Nothobranchius furzeri: one gene and its partner. The protein of the gene in region 2 purifies or fractionates together with the protein of the main gene of each other region. This does not show direct contact. Links are inferred from orthologs where the notes say so. Each region holds a gene or a part of one and is shown on either strand. Other genes may lie near its edges. The genes, in order: setd1ba and wdr82.

Region 1 (3,404 bases), on a different chromosome or scaffold from region 2:
AGCAGAAACAAAGGTGTTGCGTTTATATTTTTGTTGAGTGTTTTTATGAGCTTCTTTATTCTGAAACACAACAAATGGTTTTAGTTCTGTTTCTATTTACAGCTGAATAAATATCTTCTGGCATATTTAGTCAAAATCAAATTTCAAACTTCAGTTTTCATCCCCTAAAACTCCTCTAGAGCCCTGATTATCCCATAACTTTTTACAAACCTAAACTCACATTAAACACAGGGAAGTACTAAAATATTAAGTATTTGGAATCAATTAACCATTCTAAATAGATCTTATTTTTGCACATTAAAAAGTGTTTATTCTTTAAAAGCATGATTTAAACTTATGAAGTGTTTTTTTGTAGTTGTGTCAATACATTTCCTGATTCCGCTTGTGTAAAAAAAATGATCAGGAGGATTTATGTTATGTGACGAGTGAGTGCTTATTTCAAATAAAAGCTTTTTAATAAAATATGTAATGACTGCCCTGCTGCTTTTTAAGAAAATGCAGCAAAAGTGTGACAGTTTGGGATCCGATCAGAACCTGTCCTGCTCTACAGCTAATAAACAAACAACCACCTTTTTAAGGATGTATGCAAAACTTCTTTATTTCAGTTCTTTTCCTCTGTCATACATTTGTCATATAATAAATAGACACAAGAAACCGGCTGAGGCTTCAGTCCTCTTTCCAGTGCCGATTCTGCACCTTCTTTTTTTATTTATTTGAATTCTCCACACCGCAAAAAACCTTTTCATAGAATTTACAACACAAAGTTTAAAAAACAAAGGAGCTTGACACAAGCTGATTTTTCTGCTACCAGCTCAGAGCTCTCCTCATTATGATACATAGACGTCTGAGCCGTGTTCAAGTAGCGCATCCCGAGAAACAAATATATATATATATATTTATATTTATATAATATTCACAGTTAGATACTTACACATTTTAGCATCTCAAAGTAAACAGACAGAAAAATGAAGACGTTTCTACAAGAAACAATCTTTCCAAAAGGGAAGTGGAGACTTTTTTCCTGTACACATGCTGGACCTTTTTCTCTTTAAATAAACAACCTCTAAACCAACCGATTCTGTTCACAGAACCCTGAAAATATTTTAAATATTCAGTCTTTGTGTTTTTTTTAAATAAAAAGAGAAAGAAAGACGCATCTTAAAAGTGTTTTGTTTGTGAAGATAAAAAATCTTCTGTACAAGTTTTCATTTACAATATGAACACCAGTGTTGGAAAACTCAACAAAAACCAGCTTTTTTAACCCAAACAAACGAAAGGGGGAAAAAAAAAGCAACAACTGACTTGGACTTGAGAAGCAGAAGTGCCAGACCTCCAGAACTTTTTAAAATCCTGATAAATAGTAAATAATGAGTGAGCGGGGAGGTGTAGGAGCCTCTGACGCCGCTGGGAACGTTAAACAGAGGAGGGAATATGAGTGAAGCCAAAACAGCAGCAACATCAGGTTTAACACATCTGTATGGCACGCAAAATGAAAAATAACTTTCGCTCAAAGCTGGGGGGCATAGTTGAGCTTGTTCAGTGATTTTGTATTTTTCTGCACTAGGTTAGTTCTGCTGGGTGGCCACCAGGGGGCAGTGCCCTCAAAACAGCGAAAGAGATACTCTGAATGAAGCACGCACCGCGCACCCACACCCACACACACACACACACACACACACACACACACACACACACACACACACACACACACACACACAGTGTCTTTACAGAAACAAACCAGCTAAACAATTACGATTAACGAAAATTTTGCAGGTCTTTTTCCAAACTTGTTGCATAAACAAACAGGAAGCAGCACGATCCGTTCTTGGCTGGTGGAAGAAGACATTATTGGACAGAAATGATTTGTTGCTTTCAATCATTTGAGTTTGATTCGACTTCAGGAAAAGCGGTGCAGCAGAGGGAGCAGCGAGCCATTCCGCTGTCCTCCAACCTGCAGAAGAAGAAATGTTGTGCATCTGAGCGGTGCTTTAGTTTTGTACCATGTGTGCTGTGGGTAAAGCATATGAGGCATATGAGGGAACTGTAAAGAACGTGTGGAGAATGACTTAAGGAGATGTGCTGAAATACTGTCCGACACCAAGGGAGGGGAAAACACTCCACCGACAAGTCGAGGGTTTAAACAAAGAGAAAAAAAAAGTCTGTTTTAAGAGCACCATGAATTGTAAACAATCAGAGTTTTAGTGAAAGAAGAGCGTCGTTCAGGCAGCTTAGCTCGATGGGGGTGACTTGCTGGGTTGTCCTCCTCCTAGTCCGAGTCTACGACCAGCCTTCTCACAGCCCATTAGAGGTCTTTGACCTGAAGATGGATGCTAGTTGAGCGTCCCTCTGCAGTTCTCTGCTCCACACAAACATGGGATCTTCTCGTCCTCGATGGGGAACTTGTAGTCATACGTGATCTCCTCGTTCACATTGATCGGCTGCCTGGAGTAGATCACGATCTTCTTCTGGGACTCCACTGTGATGACTTTAGCATAACAGTTGGGCTGTGAGGAAAGAGGGGTGATTGTTTATGGATTCCAGTTATGAAAGCAAAAATTCTCTCAGCTGCATTAATGCAGGTGGGGATCAGCCTTACGTTGCAGCTGTGGTTGATGAAACGGGCAAAGTTGCCGCATTTTGTGGCGTCGATTATGGTGTCGTGGTCCACCCGGAACATGTAGCTGCTACCGATGCCCTCCTCTTCGTAGCGCTTCTCCCGCATGTCAGCGATCACCTGCAGAGAGCAAAGTGTGGCACGTCAAGTCGTGGATGGCTTTGGATTAGACATGCATAAAAAATCTGAATCAGCCTAAATTAGAAGTTCTAGAAAGGTTAGGGGTGTGGATGTGTTCATGTCAACAAAGTTTTTTCAACAGATTCTGTAAATTGTTCTCTGAGATAAGTCAGCATCAGCAGGTCGGAGCTGCACAATGATATAAAACCTGTATCAGGCCTGAAAACCAAATCTCAATAACAGGGCTCCCTCACTAGCACCGGCTCCACTCCGCCTACGGACTTCTACGCACATCTTTTGGCCCGTCCACGTGCTCAGAGATGCGCTCATGACATCACTGATGTTTTGCGCCACTTTTGGAGACCGGCCATCTGCTTGGTCACGTCTGCGTTCCTAAGGACGTATGGAAGGATGTGTGTAATCAGCCCAGTCAGGCTGGAGCTGACTGCACGGAGTGGAGCCGACCCTAGTGTGGAAGGGGCTTTAGTCACCTGCACCCAAATATTAAAGTTCTTCTCCTTAAAGGCACATTTGGCAGTTTTACTTGCTTTTAGCACCCCCTAGTGTCCGTTATTCTCTGTGGTGGAAACTCATCTCCCCGCTATACGTTTGTCTTTTTAACACCTTAATCTAACAGCTGAAATGTCTCCTCGGCCTTCATTAGTGTCTA
Region 2 (4,318 bases):
AAACTGCCGCTGTACACTTTGGTGCCTTCTGCCCTGGATGCACATGGGCAAGAGTGGCATTCAAGGTCAGCGTAGTGTCACCGGAAAACCCCAAACAATCATGGTGAGATAGCAATGGAGCTCAAGAATCTGGGAGCATTTTATAAAAATTCAAGAGAAACGTGCAAAATCTGCTAAGTAAACCCACCTTCCATGGCAGTACGAGGAAGATGAACATCATTAAAGAAAACACAATGAAGAAGAGGGATGGTTGCCTCTTTAGGCTAATTAGCTGCTTGTAATGATCGCTATAACGTTTCCTGACCCATAACACAGGTTTCATGTGTTTGCTGTAACATTACAAACACTAAGAATTTATTTAATTATCTATGTTAAGTTTAATAAGTGTTGTCACCAAGCCCACTGCCAGCATGTATTTGTTTTCTTGACCCATATCGATATCAAACTGGAACAGACTGAGTCAGATCAGATCGTAACAATCTATTCTAACTCTTGAGAATCGGAATTAAATAGATTCTTGAAATTTGTATCAATGCCCAGCTCTAGTCTTGTGTGTCTTTAACCTGCTGTGTTTTAATAAGTTCAAATAAAATACAGCTTAAAAAAAATAAACATCATCACGGTTGTTTAGTTTATCACATGACATTGATAATACATCGATTATAATTGTGCAGAAGATTTAAAGGGCTCCAGGTGTAATATTTGTCTGTATGCACCATTGTTTATTTTAGTTTCTGTTTCTCCACGCGTGCGTGTGTGTGTGTGTGTGAGCAGCATTTTTCCATCTGATTTTTTTCTTGTATTTTCTAAACCTGCGCTTTGCAATCAAAGAGCCACTACCTGCATGTTTTCTGTTTTCCTGCACTAACACACCTGGTTTGCATCAATGGGTGATTAACAGACTTCCAAAAACTTTGAGGACACGATGATGAGGAGATTCAACCATTGAATCGGGTGTGTTGGAGCAGCTAAAACACGCGGAGCAGACCTGAGAAGCCTTGATCCAGACTGTTAAAGGTTTCATTCATTCAAAATTTAAATCTGTTCTAGGATTTAAAGCACCTGTATAAAAAAAAAACAAAAAAAGACAAAAGCAATTCTTACTTTATCAAATGACCGCAGATCATAGAGTTTAACCATTTCTGAATTTATTCCTGCAGCAAAAATGAGACCCTCTGGATCAAAAGAGCACACCGGCTTTCCCTGCAGGTGCATCAGTCCCTAAAAGAGACAAATAATAGCAAAGGTCAAAATCAGTTTTTTCATTTGACGAGTGAATCAGCAAGGACAGCGCACCAAATGAAAAGCTGTTATCATAAATGTGAAACATTTTAGCTGGCACTTTTGACTGCTTGAAATTGGACCCTTACTTGGCAGTTAGGCGACCGCAGATCCCACAGTCGGATGGTTTTATCTAATGAGCCAGAAATAAATGTGTCATCCACAGGAGACATGGAGAGAGAAGTCACCCTGGTCACAACAAACACAACCACAGAACAAAACATGACGAGTAAAAACTTTAAACCTGAAACATTTTAAAGGAAAACAAAAACTTACAAAAATAAAACAGTAAACAGATACAGAAATAGTTACTCAGCCCTCACCTCTTGTTGTGTCCAGGAAAATAGCGGATGTATTTGTTGTCATGAAGAGACAGGTACCTGATGGTGTCTTGTAGGAAAAGAGACACATCATTAAACTCGTGTCAGTCAATAAACATGTAAGACCTGCAGCGGGAGTAAATGATTAAAACGAATCCACCAGCATCAACATGTGATGAGTACACTCAACCGTGGGCAAGGCAGTCACTTGTACAGTTAGCTCCTGTATGGGGCAGAATCACAGACCCTCAAACTGTACAAACAACTACCTCAGACTACAGTGAGCAGCATGATGAGCTGTGATGGAGAAGCTGGAGGTGGAGAAACATCCTGTAGAGTTCAGTCAATACAACAGATCATGATGCTGTGGCTAAAAAAAACAAACCCTTACAGACCAAGAAAAGTATTCATCCCCATTCACAGTTGAATGAATGTAATTATGGAAATGACATTAGTTTACATACCATCAATTTTGTTGGAACTGTAGACCACAGTGTTTGCAGCATGTGTGTACCTGATCAGATCTACTCCATACTTTTTACTATACAGAGTCCTCTTGGGCCTGTAATTAATCAGAACAAACAAAACGTGATCAGACTAACATCAAGAATTTTAATCAGAACAAATAAAACTAACCAACTGCTATTTTGTTAAAGTTCTATATTCTGCCGTTCTTGTTTTAAATCTGATTACATGCTAATCCAAATCTTCTACACATTTGGTTTTCTCTCATTTACCTTAAAAATAATGTATCCACATAATTGTATTGGAGCTAAATATGAAATAATGCTCGCACATGCTCATGTGAATACTCGTTTAGATTCAAAATTACTGATGATGCTGTAAAATAAGTTTTATAAAACTTAACAATTCAAATTTCTGCCCTCTTTACACCATCACTCAAGCTAACTATTACAAAAAATTTTAACATGTTGGGTTTTATTTACGGGTATATTTTACCAATCAGATAACCACATAATTATTACTCTAGCGTAATTCAAACGCGTATTTTTATTTGACCGCTGAGTCCTACGCAGTGCGACAGGCCTCGGTGTTAGCTTAGCATGAAGCTAATTCCAAAAAGTAAACTCAGCAGAAATCGCCCTTACTTTCCTTCCTGGCAGTCGTACAACACTATAGAGTCATCGTCGCTGCTGGAAATAATAGTTTCTCCGTTCGAACTGAAATCGAAGCAATTAATTTTGTCTGAGTTCTCACGAAATACTTTAGCAACCCTGAAGCTCCGTAGCACATTGTCCGTTAGCTTCATGGTTGTCTTGAGGGGAAATAGGCCCTCGTTCTCTTTGAACTTGATTTGGAAAGTAAACTTGAGGAAATTCGTGTGGATATGTGAGCAACAGTTACACTACAAGTCACAATTATCGAGAACTCAAATCAGAAACAACGACAAAATCCCGCCTGTAACACAGAAGGGAAGGGAAACGCAATGTCCGTCGCTCTATAACGGAAGTCACCTGACACGGGTGAAAAAACACGTGACGAGACAGCGTGTTATCGCGAGAATTACCACCAATACAAACAGCAGAAACACAGTGAAGAACAGCGTGAATAATCAAATCTTTCGCGTTTTTAGCTGATCTTACTTTGAAATTTCAGAGTGTTCCGATTTAAACACAAGACAGTTATTGTGTTTTTGACGTTTAATACGTATTTTTTATAATAGTAAGTGTGGAATTTTGATGTTCGAACATGAACGCAGAGGTAACGAAGAAAGTTCCAGCAGGAATTTTGACTCCATGGATAGAAACATTTCAGGTATTTGGCAACAAAACTGTCAACATTGACAGTTTTAGGCAAATTATTTCAATTTTAACTAAGATGCTTTAAAGTGCCAAAATATTGACTATGCACGTCTACACAATTAGACACTAGTTTAGTTTATCAGAAGAAAAAAAAGTTGATTTGGGGGTAACTTGCCTTTTAAACTTAATTTAATTTGATTCACACGTGTTCAAGTAAAATAATATGTCTCAACTGGATGAAGAGCACTTTAGCATGGTCTATGATCCGTTAAAGTTAATCATTAAACAGAGTTTAAACAACACCAATCATTGTCGGGCCAGATATTTGTTCCACTGCTGAGCTAGAACACACACGACGGGATTCCACTGGAATTTGCAGGCATTAAATGCCACCATTCACGACCCACACAGGTAGGCAGTCTTAAGGAATCTCAGAGAGCTCAATATTGGAGTGAAAGTTTGCAAAAGTAGAATGTTGATAACAAATATACAAGTTTTAGTTATTGGATTAGTATTTTTATGGTTGCTTTTCAAAAGCAAGATATTATGCACATGGATGAGGATAAAATTAGATGCAGAGGTTTTTCCACACCTCCTTTCTTTCGTTTTTGTACAACGAGGAATTGTTGGTGTACTAATTCCAAGTTTCTTTGAGGCATGTAATAAATTTCAAATGTCTTCACATGTTAAAGGTTTTTTATTGTCATTCTTTGTCCTGATTCATGAATTTCTCAGACCCATTGATCCATCAATGGCCCGCGTCCTTTCCCTGATCCGGCCTCAGCCTATTCTGGCCCTCGTGGGCCGGCCAAAACCTACATTCTGCAAAATGTCAATGGACTCACGGGCCCGGAAGGTCTTTGCAGCGGCAGTGGAAGCTGTGCAGCCAGACACTGTAATCAGGAAGAGCATAGAGCGCACGGAAGATTCAGTTCTTATTGACGGTCGCAGATT

Evidence for each region.
Region 1: the proteins of wdr82 (region 2) and setd1ba purify together in Homo sapiens (affinity purification with western blotting; 4 studies listed by BioGRID, with this or other methods). This does not show direct contact. The link is inferred for Nothobranchius furzeri from reciprocal best matches to the Homo sapiens genes WDR82 and SETD1B.

What each region holds. Positions count from the first base shown.
Region 1 is NC_091746.1:52,004,157-52,007,560, reverse strand, and holds the end of setd1ba (histone-lysine N-methyltransferase SETD1B-A), read right to left. Parts: intron 2,735-3,404; coding exon 2,597-2,734; intron 2,505-2,596; coding exon 2,331-2,504; 3' UTR 571-2,330; downstream 1-570. UniProt on the Homo sapiens protein: Histone methyltransferase that catalyzes methyl group transfer from S-adenosyl-L-methionine to the epsilon-amino group of 'Lys-4' of histone H3 (H3K4) via a non-processive mechanism.
Region 2 is NC_091743.1:64,676,774-64,681,091, reverse strand, and holds the start of wdr82 (WD repeat-containing protein 82), read right to left. Parts: upstream 3,068-4,318; 5' UTR 2,872-3,067; coding exon 2,711-2,871; intron 2,164-2,710; coding exon 2,066-2,163; intron 1,672-2,065; coding exon 1,605-1,671; intron 1,471-1,604; coding exon 1,371-1,470; intron 1,222-1,370; coding exon 1,105-1,221; intron 1-1,104. Other genes in the region: glyctk (glycerate kinase), read left to right, coding at 4,116-4,318. UniProt on the Homo sapiens protein: Regulatory component of the SET1/COMPASS complex implicated in the tethering of this complex to transcriptional start sites of active genes.